Linked DNA regions of Rhinolophus ferrumequinum. The protein of the gene in region 1 purifies or fractionates together with the protein of each later gene. This does not show direct contact. Links are inferred from orthologs where the notes say so. Each region holds a gene or a part of one and is shown on either strand. Other genes may lie near its edges.

Evidence for each region.
Region 2: the proteins of ARMC8 (region 1) and TCEAL9 purify together in Homo sapiens (affinity purification with mass spectrometry; 3 studies listed by BioGRID and IntAct, with this or other methods). This does not show direct contact. The link is inferred for Rhinolophus ferrumequinum from reciprocal best matches to the Homo sapiens genes ARMC8 and TCEAL9.

What each region holds. Positions count from the first base shown.
Region 1 is NC_046300.1:37,365,465-37,375,986, forward strand, and holds the start of ARMC8 (armadillo repeat-containing protein 8), read left to right. Parts: upstream 1-5,396; 5' UTR 5,397-5,972; coding exon 5,973-6,017; intron 6,018-10,522. UniProt on the Homo sapiens protein: Component of the CTLH E3 ubiquitin-protein ligase complex that selectively accepts ubiquitin from UBE2H and mediates ubiquitination and subsequent proteasomal degradation of the transcription factor HBP1.
Region 2 is NC_046284.1:51,647,417-51,658,059, reverse strand, and holds TCEAL9 (transcription elongation factor A protein-like 9), read left to right. Parts: upstream 1-6,657; 5' UTR 6,658-6,799; intron 6,800-7,282; 5' UTR 7,283-7,356; intron 7,357-7,758; exon of another isoform or gene 7,759-7,761; 5' UTR 7,762-7,823; coding exon 7,824-8,135; 3' UTR 8,136-8,574; downstream 8,575-10,643. UniProt on the Homo sapiens protein: May be involved in transcriptional regulation.

The sequences.
Region 1 (10,522 bases):
CACATTGTTCCCCAACATTCCCCAACAAAAACATTAAAAAAAATTAAATAAATATAGCAGAATAAGGGGATAAGAAATGCACAGTGCCTGGCACATAGTAGGTACCCAGTATATTAAGTACTTAATGAATGAATATAGGGTGGTTATGGAAGACCATGCTTTTAAGGTGACATAATTGAGCAGAAACCTTTATGATTAAGGGAGTGAAAAATGGAAATTTTGGGCAATAAATTTTTAAGTCAGGTTATAAAATGTTACAAACATCAGGAAAAACACCATCCTTACTATCTGCATTTTATAATAGAACTACGTAGGTGATTATGGCAGCTACCACCACCTGATGGCAGCACACTAAGTAAAACCATTGAAGGAGAGATCCCGTCTGTGGTGGTGAAACTAAACTGAATGGAGGCAAATATCACAGAGGCCTAAGAATTCTGTGTGGTGTCTCTAGCCTCTGAATCGGAAACTTGTTAGATATTTCACTGGACTTTCTGATTTCATCAGAAAACACACACACACAATATCTCTCCTTTATAGGTTTTAAGACTTCCAGATTCCATTCCTGTATTATAAATCGTGAAAAGATCAGATTTACTTTGCCTACCTTGTTATCTTTGCTTCTCCATTTTGAAACACATCAGCGTAACGTGGTCACCATTGCTTTGGGGTGGGAAGGGGTGTCTTTTTATTACCTGGGCAATCCAGATTATATAGCCATGTGAAGACCTGCTGATTTTATAGTGTCTCTTTTCCTATAAATAATTGGAGCTCTTGTCTTTGCACTAATTTTGTAGGATTGCCAGTGTTTTGTTAAAACACAAAATTCAACTGAGTAAATTTGAAGAGTAGCATGCCATCTAGCACCTGTAAGATTACTCCAAGTCGTTGTACAGAAGGAAGGTTTTTATTGGAAGAAGGGTAGGGCAAGAGCGCTATAGACAAAAGAAAAGAAAGGATTATTTTTAGACCAGACGTCTTCTTTTTTGGGGAGAAGACAACAAAAAGCAAGAGTTTTTATCATGCGTATTGCCTCTTCTGTCTTTGGGGGAATGGGGCCTTTCTTTGAGGGCCCAAAGATTACCTTACTGGTGTTTGACCAGAAAATTCCAGATGATTTGATTAAGATTACATTTCTGGGAGAGGATAAAACTGCAATTAGATCGGGTATTAACTCTAGGTTTGGTGTCATTGGCTTTTATCACCAGTGATGCCATTTTGGGCCTGTGATTTTTCTCTATAAGAGTTCCCACATCTAAGTATAGAGAAGTGGTGTCTTAATTGTTCAATTCGATTAATGTTTATGGACAAGCCAGAGTCTATGTAGAGTAGCACACAGGGTTTGCGTGGTCTGCTCCTGTTTATACTTCAGGTCAGAGCTTGGGTGCTGCCTGCACCAGAAGGACTTCCTGTGACTTCACTCCTGCTGAGGTTTCCCTTCGTCTCATACCCTTTAACTTATCATACCACATTTAATGATTTGTTCACTTGTCTCTCTTTACCTTTTGCCTGGGAGCTCTGTGAGAACAGGGAAGGTGTCTATCTTGCTCATGATTGTATTACCACTTCTGAGCACAGTGGCTGGCACATAGTAAGTATCCAGTATATATATTTTCTCGAATGAATAAATTTCCAGGATCCTTAGTCCTCTCTCTCTTTTTTAAATTCTCAAAATGTGTTCCGTTTTTCATTGTTAAAGAAAAAATAATTGCTTAATCCACAGCAACTCAATATTGTTTACACTTAAATTCTTCCCCTTGTAATTCCTCAGAACAAGGGCATTACCTTCCTAACAATAATATAATTATCACAACGAGGACATTAACAATGATACCTCATCTACAGATTTTGTTCAGATTTTGCCATTGATGTCCTTTGCAGCAAAAAGAAAAATGTTTTCACTTACCCAGGATTCAGTCCTAGATCACAAGTTGTATTTAGTACTCATACCACTTTCGTCTCCTTTAATCTAGAGGAATTCCTCAGTTTTTGTCTGTCACAGCAATGCTGAAGGATGTGTAATTTTGTAGACTGTCCCTCCGTTGGGGTTTGCTGATATTTCCTCATGATTGCACGCGTGCATTTGTGACAGGAATACCACAGAAGTGATGTTGTGTCCTTCTCAGTGCATCATATGATGGTGTCTATTTATCCCATTACTCGTGATATTCATTATAATCATCTGAATAAAGCGGTATCTATCAAGTTTCTCTACTATCATTAGTAACTTGTGAGGAGATACTTTGAGGCTGTACACATAATCCTGTTTCTCACCATATTTTCACCAATTAGTTTTAGCATCCGTTGATGAGCCTTGCCTGATATGACTATAACTCATATGGTTGTCAAGTGATGGCTTCCAAATTCCATCATCGCATCTATCTTTGGAATTTGGAATTCTACCTTAACAGTAATTCAGTTATTTTTTTAAAATCATTTTCCTTTTTTACTGTAGTTTCTAAAAAATAAAAAAGGCTTTTCAACAGCTTACTACTTCTGCTTTATACATATACATATTTTACATCCTCCAAGCACCTGATGAATTATGGATGCATTGTTTCCCATTGCAAAGCCCTTGTAGACTTTTCTAACTGGCTGGTTACTCAGGTGAGTGCTCAGTTGTCCCATGTGGGAGAGTCCTGTAGGATCCCAGAGGACTGTAAGAGCTCTGGGAAGGACTTTGAAACAGAGAAGCCTGGATTCAAATGGTTTTAGCCTCTTACCCCCTGAGCAACCTTAAGCTAATTATTGGACCACTCAGGGTCTCACTTTTATTCCTGTCTGCTTGAAGGCAGAAACCACATCTCGACTCCACTTTGAATCCCTCATACAATGTGTGCACAGGTAAACCCACAGTTCATGTCTGTTGAACTGAACTATATCGCTTCTATAGATATCTTAGTCCATTTTCTTTTTTATTTATTTGAAGAAGCTCCTTTGTCTTCAAATCTTTTTAAAGGTTCTTCTAAATTCCTTTGAGGCCATTCAGTTTTTGGTTTACATCTACCTTTCTACACTTTTAAGTTTTGCTCCTTTTGCATAGGTATGTTTCTACTTTCAAAAATATGGTGCTGTTTCTTTATCTTGGCAGTTCCATTTAGATATTTATAAATACTTTTCAGATTTCTTTCTGGCTACTTAATGTTTTGCATTTCTACTTTTTTAAAAAAAAATTAAACTCACCCTTTGTTTTCATTATTTTTTCAAAAATTAATATTGCTTTCAGATAAGAGTCAAGGGAGGATGGGGAGAAATTTCATTCTTATTTGCAGGGGAATCAGTGTGGATATTTCCCGTTCCACCCCACAGGGCAAAAGTTAACTCTTGTTTTTGGTATGTGGAGGCTGAATCAAAATCTCTTACTCCCCCTCAATTTCTATTCATTACTTAGGTTTGAAGAGTGTACCTAAGGTTATGTAGCAGCAAATTTTGATTCCTGATTCTCAAGGTTAGGAACTTGCTAATCAATGCTTCCTTCTTGTAAAATAGTCACATCAGTCTTCTGGAAATAAAACAGGAAAGCCTGGGTAGCAGAGATGTTGGATGCCTTGAGTCACATTCCCTAGCCCTTCCTCACTCTGATTTCACCCACAGCTGTAATGATGGTTCTTTTGTAAGCTCAGATTCATGCTGCCTGTATCCCACCCCAAAAGCAAGCATACAGATTCTGCTTTTCTACATCAGGTTAAGGAAGTCCTCTCTATTCTGTGCACAAGTACAATTCAGGAGGGAAGGGAGTTAACAGCCCTGGTAAAACTCTCAACCAGTACAAGACAAGAGTAGCGAATAAATGCTCCAACCTCAAGAGGGATATTCAGGGGAGCATTCTGTATGTTTTCTCAGAGGTCCTCAAGGAATAAGCAGTGACTTCAACAATGAACCTTGATATTGACTTTTTTTCTTTCTTTTCTCATTCTTCTTTACCCATCAGTTCTGTTCCCTGGAAACAGAAACTTCTCAAACTATCAGCACCAAAATCATTGTCCCAGGATCTGCCTTTGGGGGTGCCCAAACTAAGCCAAACTTCATTCAACAAACATTTACTAAGTGACTGTTCTATGCTAGGTAGTGAGATAAAAGATCTAGAAGGTAAAATTCCTAGTTCCTGCCCCAAAGTGTATAATTGGGAAACAAACAAATAAATGGTTACAAAAAAAGTTACAATATATCGTTGGAGATGCTATGTTCAAGTGGCAAGAATAGAGAGATGCATGAAGACATGGGGGAGGAGTCACCTAACCTATACCTCGGAGGTATACATTGCTTGAGCTAATGGATGAAGCGGATCAAATACAGCTAGAAGAACTCCATATCATACAAATGTCAACTGAATACTCAATTGATACCTCTGTGTGTTATGCTCTGCTCTGTTGTGGTATGCAGTACATGACATGATTTTAGGTAATACATGGATGGACATTTTAACTTTTTTGTGGTTATTATGTTAATGTGTACTAGAATAAAAATAAGCAACACAATAAACTTGACTTTACAGAGTACTACGGTTTAGGATGAGGCTTATTTAATGAGTTGAAATTGGCTTTAAAGAAAAACACTGAGTAATAATACCTGGATGCAGATTGGCAAAGATTGTGTGGATGGTATGCAGATTAATGAAGTTTGGGAAACAGTGCTGTAGAAGAAGGAAAATCTAAAAAGAAATTCCTGCCTTCTAGAAACTCAACAGTTTGTTAGGGACACACAAACCCATAAGCAAGGATAATTAATGTTATGATAAATTTAGAAACCATGTACAGGGGAAGATAGGAAAGTAGTAAGGAGTAAAGTGAAGGAGAGGCTAGAGTCTACAGGATCAGTTGGAAGGCTATTGCTCTAGTCTAGGGGAGAGATAATAACTGCCTGAATTACGGAGTGGCTATAGAAATGGAAGGAAGACAAATAATGTGACAGGCTCATTGCAACCATCCTGTGAAAACCTTACTGGTTGCAAACAGCACGGAGGTGAAACCTGTCCAGCCAAGTCCAGAGCAGTTTTGTATACACACACACACACACACACACACACACACACACGGAGTGGAGAGCTGAATTAATCAATCAACAATACTATATTAGAAGCATGTTTTTATTTGGCTTCAGTTATCGGAGCGTTTTGGTGTGAATTACTCCAACATTTGCCCTATTTTTTTTTTCTGCTTGACTCAGAGGCTAGAGAAACGCTGACATAATAACGCTTTCTACTTTTAAGAGCTTTATATTCTCCATCCTCAAAACAGAAAACTGACTTAAAGGAGGTTAAGTAACTTGCTGGAGGTAATGCAGCTAATAAATGAAGTAGAAAGGATTAAACCCGGCGTTCTGCCTCTAGAGTATCTATTCTTAACACACCACCAGAATAAACAGATAGGGCAGACAATGCTAAAGCAGGTCAAACGTCAGTGTTGGATCGTGAAACACTCTCATTGGTGGCAGACGACCTAGTACTGAGATCACGGTTTCTCCATCTGTAAAGTAGACATATGACACTAGGAGTTTGGTGCAAAGAAAGCGATAATGAATGTAAAAGTGAATTTCAAATTATGTATGTGGCACCACAGACCAGTTTTGCGTAATATGAATACGCGAACTCGTAACTGCTACGAACCAGTCTGCGAGGCTCGTAGCGCCAGAGCGAGGCCCCGCCCCTGAGGCTCCGCCCACCGCGAGCGGCAGGTGGGGCCGGCAGATCTTCCTTGCGCATGCGGAAACTGCTGCCCGCTCCCACCTCTAACCCAGGCTGAGAGTAGCTGCTGTTTCTGAGAGGACGATTCGTAAGGAGGCTTCTGGCGCGGTTTCCATTTGCTTTCCCTTCTGCGGGCCCTGGCCGTACTTCAGCGGTGTGTAGACCGTGCTCCGTTCTCATCTACCTGCCCGACTTTCTGCAGAGGTGTCTGTCATTGGCCCAAGAGTTCGCTGTCGAAAGTGCCGGCCCCCGCGCCGGCGCCGGCTGTAGCCGGGTGGGAAGGCTCAAGATGGCGTGCCTGTTGGAGACCCCAATCCGCATGAGCGTCCTCTCGGTGAGTGACCCGCCGCAGCCGCCCACCCGGGAGCTCGGGCCCGGCTCGCAGCATTCACCCAAAACGCAGCGTGTCTCCTGGGCACCACCCCTTAGGGTCGCCTCCGGCTCAGCTTTGGGCCGGGGTGTGAGAGAGGGTGGGCGGGAGTGATAGACGGAACCCCGGCCGAGCCCGAGACGTCTCCAACTCCCGGAGCTCCTACCCGTGCCGGTTCTCAGGACGGCGTCCAGCGGGTGGGGTGCTTGGGCGTACGGGCAGCCGGCTTGGCGACGCGGCTCTGGCTTTGCCAGGCGCTTCACTGAGCCTTTCTCTTAGTGGTGCCGCTTCTCTGGGGCGCAGGGCTCTGTCCTGTAAGGCGCCGGGCTTGCCGCTGGCCTGAGAACTAGCGCCCACTCTGCCCCCCGAGGCTTTGGCAAGAAGAGGTGCAGGCTCCACAGCCTCCGAGATGCCAGGCCAGGTCTGTGTGGCTTCTGTCGCGTCTCAGCACCCGGGCACGGGCTAGAGCAGCTAGCTTCTTGGCAACGGGGATTTCATATCAGTTGCAACGTCTCCCAGTGTATGTAGTCATTTAAGTCCCTTTTCTTTACTTTGGAGGTCGCAGCTCTGAATCTAAAGGAACCTTCGCCTAGCATTTCTTTTTTTTTTTCTTCATGGGGAGTCAGACGTTGAAACAACAGATCAAATTTTCCTATTATTGAAAGAAGAGAACGTATTGACATGCCAGGAAGTAATACCTAGTTTTTGTGTGTGTTTTTTCCCTAGCATAAAAAATAAAAACAAAACAGGACTTTCATTATGTTACTCTAGAGAGAACCAGTACCAGAGGTGAAAGTTACTGGGCGATAACTTGGAAGGGTTTTGGAACAAATTAGATCCATCCAACTCTGAGTGATCCGTTTACCAACGGTCCATTTGCTATTGCTGGAAACAAGCAGGCAAACACTGGTTGACCATCTTTTAGACTTCTGGAAGAGTCAGTCTGATATTGAGGGGGTAGTTGGGTTACAGACGACTAGTCAGATTCTTAGGGTCTGTGACTCCAACTGGTTTCTTTTCTCTTCCCTAACTTCTCCCACAAACACACTCAGATATCTTGAAGCACCTAGGATATTTGCTTGTCATTCAGGGTTAGAGCATTTTGGTATACTGCAACCTTGATAATTTAATTGGGGAGGGGAGCTGTCAATAAATTTGTCTCCTAATCCACTTTAGCAGTCCTTTTTCTTACTTTTAAACTGCAACTAGGGGAATACTGTTCACCTAAGTATTGAATCAGATTAGCCGATTACTCCACCTCTGACTATAATAGCCAGGAATGTTTTGTGGGAGAGCAGGCCAACGACTTTCCCCTCATTTTTTAAGAAAGTACGTGTCTTGACTGTTCTCAGTTCCCTTTTACTTCCTCTGTCTTTTATTTCACCTGAAGCTTCTTTAATTTTTTAATTTTTGTTAACTTGTATAGTGCATACAATTGAAAATTTTGATTTGTTTCATGCCTTCAGTAAATAATATTTCCTGTTTAAGTTTATTAAAAAATTTCTTGAAGAGTATTCTCTACTTCTAGTGGGGATTTACTTTAGCCCTAGTCTCATTGGGGGCTTTATTATTCTTATTTTTTTTTAAGTTTTTACAGTCCAAAAGTCTGGTCTGTCCATTCTTCAGTCCTAGAGCCTTAGGAAATCAGAGATTTGAATAAGTGACTTAAAACTCACTGATTATACTAATTTAAAGTGAATCCTGTTCATTTCAAAGTACTGCCCAGGGCGTCACTTTTTGAAACTCAACGTGCAAGTGGAACAGGAAATAGTAATCAAATTATCTTTAAAATAATTGATTTCTTTAATAGGGTACTTATTGTGCACCAGTTATGTACAACACCCTGTAACATATACTTTAGGGAATGCAAGGATGAGATCAGATATGCCTCTCAGGGAGCTCACAGTCTGAATGACTCGCTGCTCAACGGAATTCGTGTGAGGGGCAAATCAAATGGTTTCTAAAGGGTTTTTATTCAAGGCCTGTTATAGGTTCTTCCTTCTAGTGGTCTTATTCACTCTTGTGACCATAACTGTGATCAACTCACACATGTACATTGCCAGCCTTGACTTTTGTCCATCTAATGTCACGTCTTCAGTTGTTTGGATGTTATCCATCACTTTCAACAAAACACATTGCATCTCCTAAGAAGACTTAGTCATGACTTCCCATTTCTGTTAATGGTACTACCATGTTTCCCCGAAAATAAGACCTAGCCAGATAATCAGCTCTAATGCGTCTTTTGGAGCAAAAATTAATATAAGACCTGGTTTTATTTTATTATAAGACCAGCTATAATATAAGTCTGGGTCTTATATTAATTTTTGCTCCAGAAGACGCATTAGAGCTGATTATCTGGCTAGGTCTTATTTTCGGGGAAACATGGTATCTTTAACTGATAACTTACTGTAAACCCCTTGAATTATCTCTGGCTCTTTCCATTTTTCATGCTCCTGTATCTAATCAGTCCTTACATTCTGTTAGCTCGTTACTCTTGGTGTCTCTCACATCTGTCTGTTCCCATGGTCACCCTCTCATTCAGAACATTATCATTTTGGGCCTGCATTACCACAGTGTCCTTGCAAGTATTTTTTACTGCCTCGAGTGTCTTACCCTCCCAGTTCAAGTTCAAGTTCATTCTCTACATTAATTTTTCTGTACAATACATTGGATATGCCATGCCCTTTTTCAGTTTTTTAATGGGTTTTTATTGCTGAAGGGCTGACATTTCATTCTCAGCTTCGGATGTAAGATTCTTTATCCTCTATGTGGACCTTCCATCCCTTGTAAACTGGCTTTCTCAAGTTGAAGTGATCTAGGGTTCACCCAAACCCCAGTAACTCTTATTGTCAGCCTGCTTGTTTGTACACATGAATTATAGCTCTGTATAGATTTATTCACGTGATATGCTTTGAGCTTCTGTCATTTACATGGCATTGGGTTTGGGAATACAGTGGCGAGCTACACAGACCTGTGTCTGCCCTTTTGGAGATTTTAGCCTAATAGGAGAAGTAGATTTCAAATGGTCACACAGTTCTTTGTTTATGAATGGCAGTTAGTGTTATGAATGAAAAATATAGGGTGCTGTTATAAGCAGGTAATAGGGGAATATGATCTACGGTGGAGGGCAGTGAGGTTAGGGAGGGTTTCCCCGAAGATGTGACAATGAGCTGAGAGTTAAGGATGAGTAAGAATTAACTAGAAAAATAGAAGAGCATTTTATTTTTCTAAAAGCAAAGGGAACTGCTTTTTCAGAGACTCTTAGGCCTTTAATAGTTACTCTATTTTATCTGCTTAGAGAGTAAATTAATTTAATTTTTCTTAATCCTGCTACTATTTATAGCACTGTCCTCATGTACTATGTACTCAATAAATGTTTGATTGGACTATATTTTGGGGAGTTGGACAAACTCCAGCTCTTTCCAGGCTGCACCATGATCACCCATTATCCTCCTTTGGTGTGCACTTAGCGTTACATCACCCCTTTCAACAAATTTATAAATTCTCTCATGTTTCCCAAACTGTTGGATGATTTTTTACATCAATTGCATTTTAAAAAACAATCTTTTTGAAATAATTACAGAGTCACAGGAAGTTGCAGAGAGATTCCTGTGTATACTTCACCCAGTGTCCTCCACTGGTTACATTTTATATAACTATAGTACAATATGGAAGCCAGGGAATTAATAGTGGTATAAGTATGTGTATAGGTACATATTATTTTATCACATGTGTATATTTTTGTAACCACCACCACAGTCAAGATACAGAACTAGTCTATTTTGTTGGCCTCAAGCTGCAAATTGATTGTTCTCTTACATAGACAACTGACAATAGGTAGAAGTTAAGCCCAGCTATCCTATAAGCATGAATTCAGCATCTCTTGATTGTTTGCCATTAGTTCACTTTACAAGGCACCAATAAGTAGAGGGTATGTCTGGAGGGGATCCTAAAATACATTAATCAGTATGAACTTCCTAATCTTCACTGGCAATGTGTGAAGAGCAGGAGATGCTCCTTGTACATTTCAGGATGTCTTGCTGTCTCTCTAGGGAAAGATTGCCACCTGAGTTCAGACGATGAGTGCTCAGGACATCTTCTAAGCTTTACCAAGAATTAGAAATGCCTTTGTGTAGGGTCTTTCGATTTCTCTTGGAGAGATCTAGCCTTCCTATCTCCTCTCATTCTCATTGAGAATTTTAAAACAGAGCCGGGGGCCAGGAATTTCAGTGATTTTTGACTTGTATCTTTTTGATTTCTGATTTGGCAATTATTTTGTAGTGCCATTTGTCATGTTGGTTTCTGGGTAAAGATATGGAATTATTAACAAAGGAAAATTTCCTGTTACTTTTTGGAAATTGGAGAACAGCTGCCTTCACTGAGCAGTGTTGCTATGATCCTTGGGACCATTTAGCTAGGAATGAAAGGTATTCCAAATAAGAGCTGTTTTGCACAAACAGCCTCCGCTT
Region 2 (10,643 bases), on another chromosome or scaffold:
GTTATCAGTATATATTGAGTATTAAAATTTTAATACAGTTTTTTCCTTTCTTAAAATGTGTATACATTTTTTTGGCATCCTCTGTATGCAGTAACAACAGTGAATGAAATGTGAGTTATCTTTAAAATATGTATTTTATTGCTCTGTTTATGTAATTCATGTAAACTGCAAAAAATTTGGCAAACATACAAAAATTGTACACAATTTTTTTAAAAACTCCATAGTCTCATAAAATTTCTAAGCATGTATAAATTTAAATACTTCTGTATGATTTTTCCCCTACTAACACTACAACTCTGTTAATATGCTGTGAAGTAGGGTTCTAAATATTTCAAAGGTAAATTTGATTAGGTGCGATTTCACTTTATATGCTGACTTTAGAATCCAGCCTCGGCTTAAGATTCAATTGCATTACACTAAGATGTCCAATCAGGAATGATAATTGAGAAGAAAGGTCTGGAAAAGGCATGGATTTGGGTTGGCAATACCTTGCAAGTGTCTAGTTAATATTTGTTGAATGAATAAGTGGATGAAATTTATATTTGAGTCATCAAATAAATTAAATTGAGTGTAAATTCTTGAGGGTTTTCATCCCTTCTGTATGTATTTTTCAATATAACTAGAATAATCTTATACACATTGTTTTATAACCTGCTTTTAAATAATAATATTTATTGTCTTTATTTGCAAAAGTAAAACATTTTCACTGGAAAAAAGGTCAAGGACCTATAAATAAACGCCACTTGTCAAGCAGAGCCAGAAATACAATCCGTTCTTTTTCTATTCATTTATATTTATAAAAGAATTGAATTGATAAGTAAGACTATTATATGATCTGCTTTAAATATTACATTATTGTCAACAATGTTACTTTTCCCAGCAAAAAAGCATCCTAGAAGAAAAGATTTCTCACTGGATAAAATTTAGGAAAAAGAAACCTTCTTTCCTGTGTATCATTAGTCCTACAGCTTGACTATCTCAAACGGTGATTGGAGGGAGACAGAGCATAAAGAGGAGAGCTTCATTTTAATGCATACTAGTCACAAATGGGCCAAGAGAAGCAAATGTGAAGTATTCAACCATTGCAAGGACCCCTTCACCTCAAAGAGGTAGTGGAGGCCTTAAATAAGATCCTGCTCAGCTACAGAGAAGTATATATGCAAAATATGTGTCATAAAATAAGATCATATACTATTTGCAGACTATTCTTTATTGTAGAAGCTACACATATCCACTGAAAACATGTAGAAGATTCTACTAAAAAGCATATAAAAGAATATATAAATCACCTATAAGCCACCAACCATCCAATAATGCCCACTTCTAATGTTTTGGTACGTATTATTACATAATATTTTCTATGCATGTATACATATAAATACCTACATATATATTATTTTTACAAATTGGATCCTCGGCAGGTTACTGTTTGTAACCTCTTTTCATGTGCCAATATATTACAAATACTTTCATTTCAATAAAGATATGACTGCCTTATATTTGCCAGATATTTTATTTCTTCTGCATGTTTTCAAAATTTTATCTCAATCATTTTTCTAAATATTATGAATTAATATATGCCCATTAAAGATAAAATTTAAATATATAAATGCAACATTTAGAAAAGTTCACTTTATATTGAATACTCATTTCAAATATATCCTATGGGAATAGTTAAGTATGTATTCATTCAAATTTCTAATATGATGTAGAAATACAGTAATACCCCGCAGTAACTTGGCACTGGATATAACATAATTTGTGATGGGGCCTGGAGACAGGGGAAAACAGAAGGGTGATGATTAAGCTGAAGTGCTGAATAAACAGTTATGAGGAGGCATCAGAACACAGCTGAGTCCCTGATGGATTTGGATTGTGTATTGAGCTTACCAAATATGCTCACATCAGTCTTTCCATTCATATAACCCAAAATTTTACAGGAATAAATTGTGTAGACTTCACTTACCCCATTATGGTGGAATTTCATTATATTCTCATATTTTAAATACACAAAAATAGATATATGTATGCTGTGACAAAATGTATTAACCTTCAATTTGCCTTTTTCTTAACAATATACGCATATGATGGGCATTTTTTCATGTGAGTAAATATAACTCCACATCATTATTTTTTCATCACTGTGTAGTATTGCACTGTATGAATAATCAAACTTTTCTTAAACCAATCCCCTTTTAGGAATATTTAGGGTTTTTACTTTTAAAAAGAAAATCTATTACTACAACTAATGCAATGACCATATTTGAGATGGGAGTATTTCTGCATGATAAACCGTTAGAAGAGGAATTGATGTGTCCAAAAGCACATATATTTTAAAGTTTGAGATTACCAAAATGACCTCCAAAAATGTACTATTTTATTCTTTGTTTTTGTGTTTTGCTTATATTTTCATTTATTTATTATTTTTATTGAGGCATGATTGACATATAACATTATATTAGTTTCAGGTGTACAAAGTAATGATTTTATATGTGTGTATTGCAAAATAATCAGCACAATAAGTAGTGAACATCCATATACCATTTTATATTCTCAAAGCGCATGTAAATGTTTTTCCATATCTTCACCAACTGTGAGTATAAGCAGTATTTTTCATCTTTTCTAATTGCACAGGTGAAAAATTAACTCTCACTTTTGTTCCCAATAGATCTCATTTTAATGTTTTCTTAGACATCTATGATATGGTTGTTACATAATTTAACCTGTTCCCTATTGTAAGACATTAAAGTTTCTTCTTAATTGTTTCTACTATAAGGAATTGTGCTGAATATCTTAATAGTAATTTTCCATTTGTAAACGGTACATACCAGTGGTGCAGTTTGAATTGTTTCAACAGAATTATAAGTTTGCCTTTTTTATCCTGTAGCATAATCATCTGGGAGAATCCTCAGTTTATGAGAATGTGTACATACACGTGTGAATGTGCATATACAACCATGTGCATGGTTGGGTGCATATCTGCTATTTCCTAGAACAATTCTCTTTCCTTCTGCTCCTTCATCGTTGCTTTTCATTTGTGGCTTCTCTTTGTATATTCAGGTCCAAGTCAAAGGATTGATACTACGAATTCAGGTCTACAGACTTTATTGTAGTAAATCACTGTGACTGCCACTAAGTATTTTCTTAGGATGTATACCTAAGAATGGATTTACAGATTCGGAAAGAATGCATATTTTCAGTACATAGCAATTGCCTATGTACTATCTAGAAAGGTTGACTGATTCAGATTCCATGACCTAGAAATAAGTGAGAAAGCCCTTGGGGGTAGTGCAGAACATGTCCAAAAATGTTTGCAGTGAACCTGCTTTCAGACGACAGCCTTTGTCAATAGACTTAAGCACCCCTAAGGAGGAGCAAGTAGACCTCTACCCAGCAAGGCAGCATGAGACAAGGCAGGGTAATGGTAAGGACACAGGGCCTAGGTTCAGTCAGACTGGTCTCCTCTGTCCTTCCCACCCTCCGTCTGTCTCTTGCCCACCCTCTGAGGCCCAGGTCAAGGTCGTTTTCCTCTTTGAGGCTGTCTCTAACTAATCGGCTAACTGGCTATTGACCTTCTCTGAGCTCCAGTTGGCCTAACAGTCTACCCTTTGCTTTAGCTCTTTCTCCAAATGGCTTCATGTGAGGGTTTGCAGTTATATTATCTATTCCACCCCTAGGGTGAACCCACAGAGGATATGGCCCACTCTCAGGAGGATAGACCTAAAGAGGCACAAGCAGACCTTGGATTTGGGCTCCAGATCCTTTGTGCAGGATATTCTATGGTCCTACACATCTAGAATGTGGTCTAGAAAGAAAAAGGTAAAGGCTCCAAGTAGGAACATTTTCTTATCCCATTGACTCTTCACTACTTGGGGAAGAGGGCCTCGAGAGGAGGGCCAGACACTGACCCTCTAAAAGTGTGGCCTCAGGAAGAGCCCTTTTCTGCTCAGATCTAAGGAGATAATGTCTTGGGGCATATTGCTTAAACCCTCCATTTAATTTCTCCATATACAAAATGGAAATGAAAATATCTTCCTTACAATTGTTGTTAGGAGTATAAAATGAGATAATGGCAGCAAAGCACCTTTCTCTTTTCAGGACATTCTAAAGATTTCTGGAACCATTTCCATCAAGCTGGAGAAAAACAACTACCATTCAGGATGTTTCAATCTTCCTAAGTGTCCTGGCATAGAATTAACCCCTGGTCATTCACAAACGGTGAAAGGATTCACAGACCCAAAAAAAAGTTATTAAAGAGCAAAGAAAGTTATTAAAGTTCAGGCAGAGAGAATGCCCATGGCAGTGTCTAAAGATGATGGCTGCCACGGGTAATAAGGAGAGAAATACTGGCGGGGGTAGAGGGGGTTGGGGTGGGGGTGAGGGTCGTCGCCGGGGCAGAGTCTTAGAGTGGACAGCTGCACCTAACTTCACGTTACATTTTTCTTATATAGGAAAGGGGAGTCAGTCAGGCAGGTCTGAGGGCTAACATTGCTTCTTGGGGTCTGGTCTGTTTTAAGATAATGTTATCTCCAGACTCCGGACTTGGATTCAGCCATCGCATCGCAGCCTGGAACTTTATGCGTCACCAGTAAAAACTGCAAGGGAGTTGTAAATTCGATCCCGGTGTCCGGTCGCCTGAGGATTAAGAAATTGCTCTTTTGGGTTATGATTCTGTTAATTAAATGGATTCACGAGGTATGGGTAGCCTTGAGAAAGGGAACAAAACACTTCTCAAGTTAATCAGTGAGGGAAGAAACAAAGAAGAAACAGCTGAATATCAGGATGGATCTAACTGCAAGCTAAATTTAACTACAGGTAGCTAGATAGCGAGCTATGCAGTGAGTCAAACTGCAAACTAGCTAAGTCTAACAGCGTTATTGATTTACCAGATTTCACCCTTACATTAAGGACAATATATTCAACTGTTTTGCTAATCACATGCTGCTTTCTAAAGTTGGGAGGTTACTTGTGCTTTTCTGTTTTAGAGGTAAGGCCAATACAGAGAGAGTAACTTACTAAGGGTCACACACTCAATTTGCAACAAAGTGAAATGATCAGCCTCTCTGGCTGCATCTTGCTCAAGCCTGCTTTGTTCCCATTACCTTCAGGTTGATAGCTTCTTGCAAAGAGACATGCTAATCATTGGAGGAATTCTGCTTGTAGTTTGAGGTTTAAAAATACAGTCCCTTGCCAGAGGGTGACTCTCCTGAGGAGATAAGGGAAGTATGTATTGTTTATCGAAGATTTGCAGGAACCTCGTGAGGGGACTCACATAATCTAGGGTCAACAGACTAAGCACAATCTTCCCCAGATCCCTGCTGGGGCCTCGATGTCTGCAGTCATCATTCACCTCTTGCCCCTCCCATTTCCCCTTCCTTCGACATGAAAGAAGCCTGACTCTAATTTAAGATGGATTTGAGGATTAGGTCTCTCATCTTCTCAGTTGGTGTCTACTCCATCAATAAACCTTTCCTTACTCCGAACTCTGACATTTTGAGTTTTGGCCTTTCAAAGTGTCAGGCACAGGGACTTTGGACAGATAACAAGTTCTAGGTCTGGCACTGGGACTAACATCTCCTGTCTCTCACATCAGGGTTCAGTCCAGCAGAACCAAACCATTATATCTTGGGTTTTCTGATGTTCAAATACACATGTTTCCCAGAAGATAGAATAACGTGACAGAAGAGCAAGTGAAACAAAATGAGATGCAGTCAGGTTTTTTTTTTCTTTACACATAATCTATTGAGGTTTTTATTCTGCCTCACAAATGGGCATCGAAACTTACACAAGACAAAAATACATGTTTATATCTCCTGTTATTTTTCAAATGTTACCTCTGAGAGCTATGCAATTTTTATTGGCAAATTTGTGATTTTTACCAAAAAATGAGGTGAGGTTGAAAGGTAACCAATATCCGTTGAAGACTTTATATGACTGAAGTGCTTTGCACCAAGTGTTATCATTTAGAATTCCCACAAATTATGAGGTGTATGTTATTATTCCTTTCTTCTAGATGAGGAAACAATCGATGGTTCTGCAGGCAGCACAGCTTCTTGGTAAATACCATCACCAGGAGTCAAACATTACTGTTTTTTTCCATTTTGAATAATTTTCCCGAAGTGAAATCCTAATATAATTATAATAGCTTGTACTTTTTAAAGCACCATATGCCAAGCACTATTCTCAGGGCTGTATATTCTGACTATTAAAAAAAAATGCTACTTAAAAAAAAGAATATAAAAGTATTAGGAATAAAGTAAAAATATCATTCAAAAATCTCATTCTTGTCCCAGACTTTGTTTTTTAAACAACCTGCTGCCAAACCAGCTCTGCTCCACAACAGCCAAAGACCAGATTGTAGATGAAATGGAGGTTGGGGGAGGGGCGATGGCTGTAGCAGTTCTTAATGCTGGGAGCTGAAGGCAGGAAGAGATAATTCTGTAAAAAAGTAGAAAAGTTTAGTAGCTCCAGCAAAAGATGTAGTACCTCCCTAGTAATCAGAGATGGGCAAATAAAAATTTCCCCTCTGGAATACGGGACAACAAAAAAAGACTGACAGGGTCAAACGTATAGGGGTGGGGCAGAGGGCGGGATTACTTCTGCCGCGTTTTTGGTGGGAGTGGAAACTGGGGACCCGAGCTCACTGGTGACGTAGGTCTCACGTGACCAGGAGTCGACGTGTGCAGAAGTCCTGCTAGTTTGGTCCTTGTTCTCGCCTGGGTACCAGCTTCATTCTGTAGCGCGACTGCGGGGCCTGAGGCCAGGGAAAGGAGAAAGCCAATCTGCCGGAATTTTGCAGGTTGGTGTTCAAATACGTGCTGCTTGGGGATTTCTAGGGTAGAGGTGGCCTAGGGCAGAGATTTGAAGGAGTCCTGGTCATGTCCACCTCTCCACCTCCGGGTCTGCAGGAAATAATGACCTTTGGGAAAGGGCCTAGGGATCTCGGGAGAAGGACAGAGAGACCTGTGATAGTTTTAAAATCCTCCTCTGCCATCTCAGACCGCTTTCCCAACACCTACCCTCCCCCCAATCCCCGCCTCAGTCTTAAACATAGTTTGGAAATAATATGCTCTTCCAATTCCTTGTCTGATGGGAAATTCGAGCTAACTTGCACTGTTGAGAGGGGGAGAACTGGAGGAAACAGAAGGTGAGAAAGTTTCCATAACCGAGAACCTTAAAGAGAAAAAAGGTGCGTGGTGCTGGTCACCAAGCGCTCGCCCCACCCCCCCTCCACTCTCTCCTCCCTTCCTCCCTCCCCCTCCTTTTTCTCGTTTGTTCGCAGATCTGCAGGTCTGTTGTTCATAGCACTGAGCAAAGCTAGAAAAGACGAGAAAGAAACTGACCGGATCAATACTGGTAGGTGAGAGGATATATTATAAAGACGCCTGGGGGAGTGGGGGGGGAGGTGGGCGAGGGCGGGACAGAAGTATGGGCCCCAGGGTCTCTCCCTACCCCAACCCGGAGTCTCCCAGCCTACTCTGTTCTGGGAGGGTCTTCTGTTAAGTCCATGCGGGGGCAGCGGGGTGGGGGATGGTTGAGGAGGGCCTTGGAAATGGCTGGAGGGAGGGAGCAGAGAGCAGTGAGGAGGTGTAAAGTGGAGGTAAGAGGGGCCTCAGGGAAATTGTTGATTGAATCTCCTGGGTGGAAGATATTTGATGATAGTTCTGAATAAAAGAAAAGCAGATGCTGAGACTTATGTCCAGAGCACCAGTCCAATCACCAAGCCTTTGACTGACTTACCATCTCCTTGCTTTCTAGAAGTAATTGTATTCAAAGAGGAATAAGCAGAGAAAAAGGAGGAAAGGAGGGAAGAGAGCCACAAGATGAAACCCTGTCAAAGTGAAGGAAAACCAGAAAATGAGAGCGAACCAAAGCTTGAGGAAGAGCCAAAGCCTGAGGAAAAGCCAGAGGAGGAGGAAGAACCAGAAGAGGAGGAAAAAACAGAAGGAACTTTTAGAGAAAGGCTGATTCAGTCTCTCCAGGAATTTAAAGAAGATATACACAACAGGCATTTAAGCAAGGATGATATGTTTAGAGAGGTGAATGAAATAGATGAGATAAGGAGAGTAAGAAACAAACTTATAGTGATGCGTTGGAAGGTTAATCGAAACCATCCTTACCCCTACTTAATGTAGTTTATCTTGATTTTTATTCTTTCTGATACTAACATTGCCATATAGCTTTCTTTTGATTTGCATTTTCCTGATAAACATTTGTCCATTTTTCTACTTTAACTTGTTGCTTGCTATTAGTGGTTTTAGATGCATCTCTTCTTATATTGCATTCTCACAGTTTATCATATTTTGAACCAATCCCCAAGTCTCTGCCTTTTAATAGGAGAGCTTTACTCATTTGTACAAAAAGAAGTTCCTGACAGGATATAAAATGAAAAAAACGTTACTAAGTAATATGTGAATATCATATTTTTAAAAGGGAAGAGTACATTTGTATATTGCATATATGCACAGAAAAACGTGTGAAGGATGAAAGACAAAAAAAGTACAGTCAGTGGTAGGATTATGAGTGATTTTTAAAATTCTGCTTATTTGTATTTTTCCTTATTCTTAGAATGTACACACATTATGTTAAAATAATAAAAGTTTTATAACAAAAAAAAGTAACCAACGGCATTTACCAGTTTATTTCTAAAGGCAATGCGGCATTTGATATTTCTTGACAGAATTTTAGAAGCAAATGTAAACTCCAAATTACCACTAGACCACCTAGCTAGAAGAATGAATTTTACAACTTATCTGTAAAATAGAGATGATAATGATCTCTAAGATATCTTCTGAGGATGAAATAAGGATATGACGGTGAGCTGTATCTGACAGGTTTTTTCCCCCTGTCTGCCCATGCAGGATCCCAACTCCCCAAGAGATTTGTTTCAGCTATTTGGGAGGGTGGAGAAAGTAGTTCTCACCTGTGCTTAAGAACAAATCCAGGCCAACTGTTAGGTGGGTGCCACCTTTATGTTCCTCTCCTGCTGTGCCTGCCCAACCTCCCAAACCCCCTCCCCTTGATACCACCATGTATATTGGACATTCCTGCCCCTTCTTCCACATCCTATACCTTTCAGGCCCCTATCGCTGCTGATGTTTTGGAATTCTCAAATAGCGAAGCCCAACATTTCTTCAGAAACCCCCATGGGCTGAATTCCCAGATTGACCTCTACAGAAGTGGGGAGAATGGCCATATTTTCAATTTAGACAGACATTTATGCAGGGTCACTTGGGCCACGATATCTTACAGATATCTTGGCAACTTGGGGATTTTAGTCATAAGTCTCCTCTTCCCCATAAGACTACGGGTCTATTTGGGGGGGGTTGGACCAGAAGACAAGTCTGACTAACAGTATTATGCTTTAGTGAGTTGCTTCTCTGAGTCTAAAGAGTGGTTTTATCTTCCTGACTCTTACTTTCTTAGTGTAAGTGATCTCTTCCAGAAGACTGGTGCCAGGCCCTCCTCACTAGTTCAACAGGTATTCCTCAACCTGTGTAAATTGTAAAGGGAGGTTCAAGTCAGATTTGGGGATATTCCCATCTTTACCTGGAAACATGAAAGTGCTATGTAAGACAGTGTGTCTACATCAAAATCTATATATGTATAGATGGCTCACAGTTGTGCCAGTTGTGTTATTTTATTATTCCTTTGTGCTGCTCTTTTTGGGGCAATTCATGTCTCCAGACTGTTGTTCAAGTATGCAACACCCTGATGGATGGTGGTGGGGCTGGATTCCGGCAGGAGTGTGATGAGGGTCCAGGAACTCACCGGCAGTTTTACAGACAGGACGAATCCATCCCTCTGGCACTCTGAGTGATGGCACTCAGGCTGGATGTGGAAGGGCTCACCCCAAACACAATCCTCTCCAGGATGGTCTGACTTCGATTTCTCTGCTCCAGCCTGCAGCAGGCACCAGACCCTCCTAGACTGGTAGAATTGCTGTGCTGGACATTCTTATCTGGAGGACAACAACTGTCACCATTACATGTCAGAGCACTGGACTTCCTTTCCCTCCTTTTTCCTTCACAAGCGGGCTTCATGGGAAATTTTTGTAGGGAAGGAGGTAAGACGTCAAAATTCACTACCAAAAAACATTGGTTGTGATAGTCTTTGTTCCAGCCATGACTACTCTGGATATAATCAGTTAACTTGGGGTTACAGTAGAAGGGCCTGGTGGTAGGTGGAGATGATTTTAGACAGTACACAAACATTTTAAATTGTAATATCCATGTATATTTGAATGTGTATTAATGAATACTCTGTTTAAGGTAAATGATGATAGTTTAGATTTAAGATGATGTTACAAAGTTCCCTTTTGAAAAGAGTATTCAAATTAAATGAGTCAATTTGAAAACAAACATGAGAATTGAGGGTTGCTAGATGGGGGTGGTGGGGATAAGGGGGGAGGTGACCACAGTCAGTAACCACAAGATGGCCACGGGGTTACAAAAGTCAGTTTGGGGAATGTAATCAATAATGTTGTAAAGATTTTGTAGGGTATCTGATGGACACTGGTCTCATTAGGGAGACCACCTCAGGGATGATGTAGATGCCTGATCACTGCACTGTACACCTGAAGCTGAAGCTGAACAATAATGAATGTCAACTACAATTTTATATATATATATATACATATATAC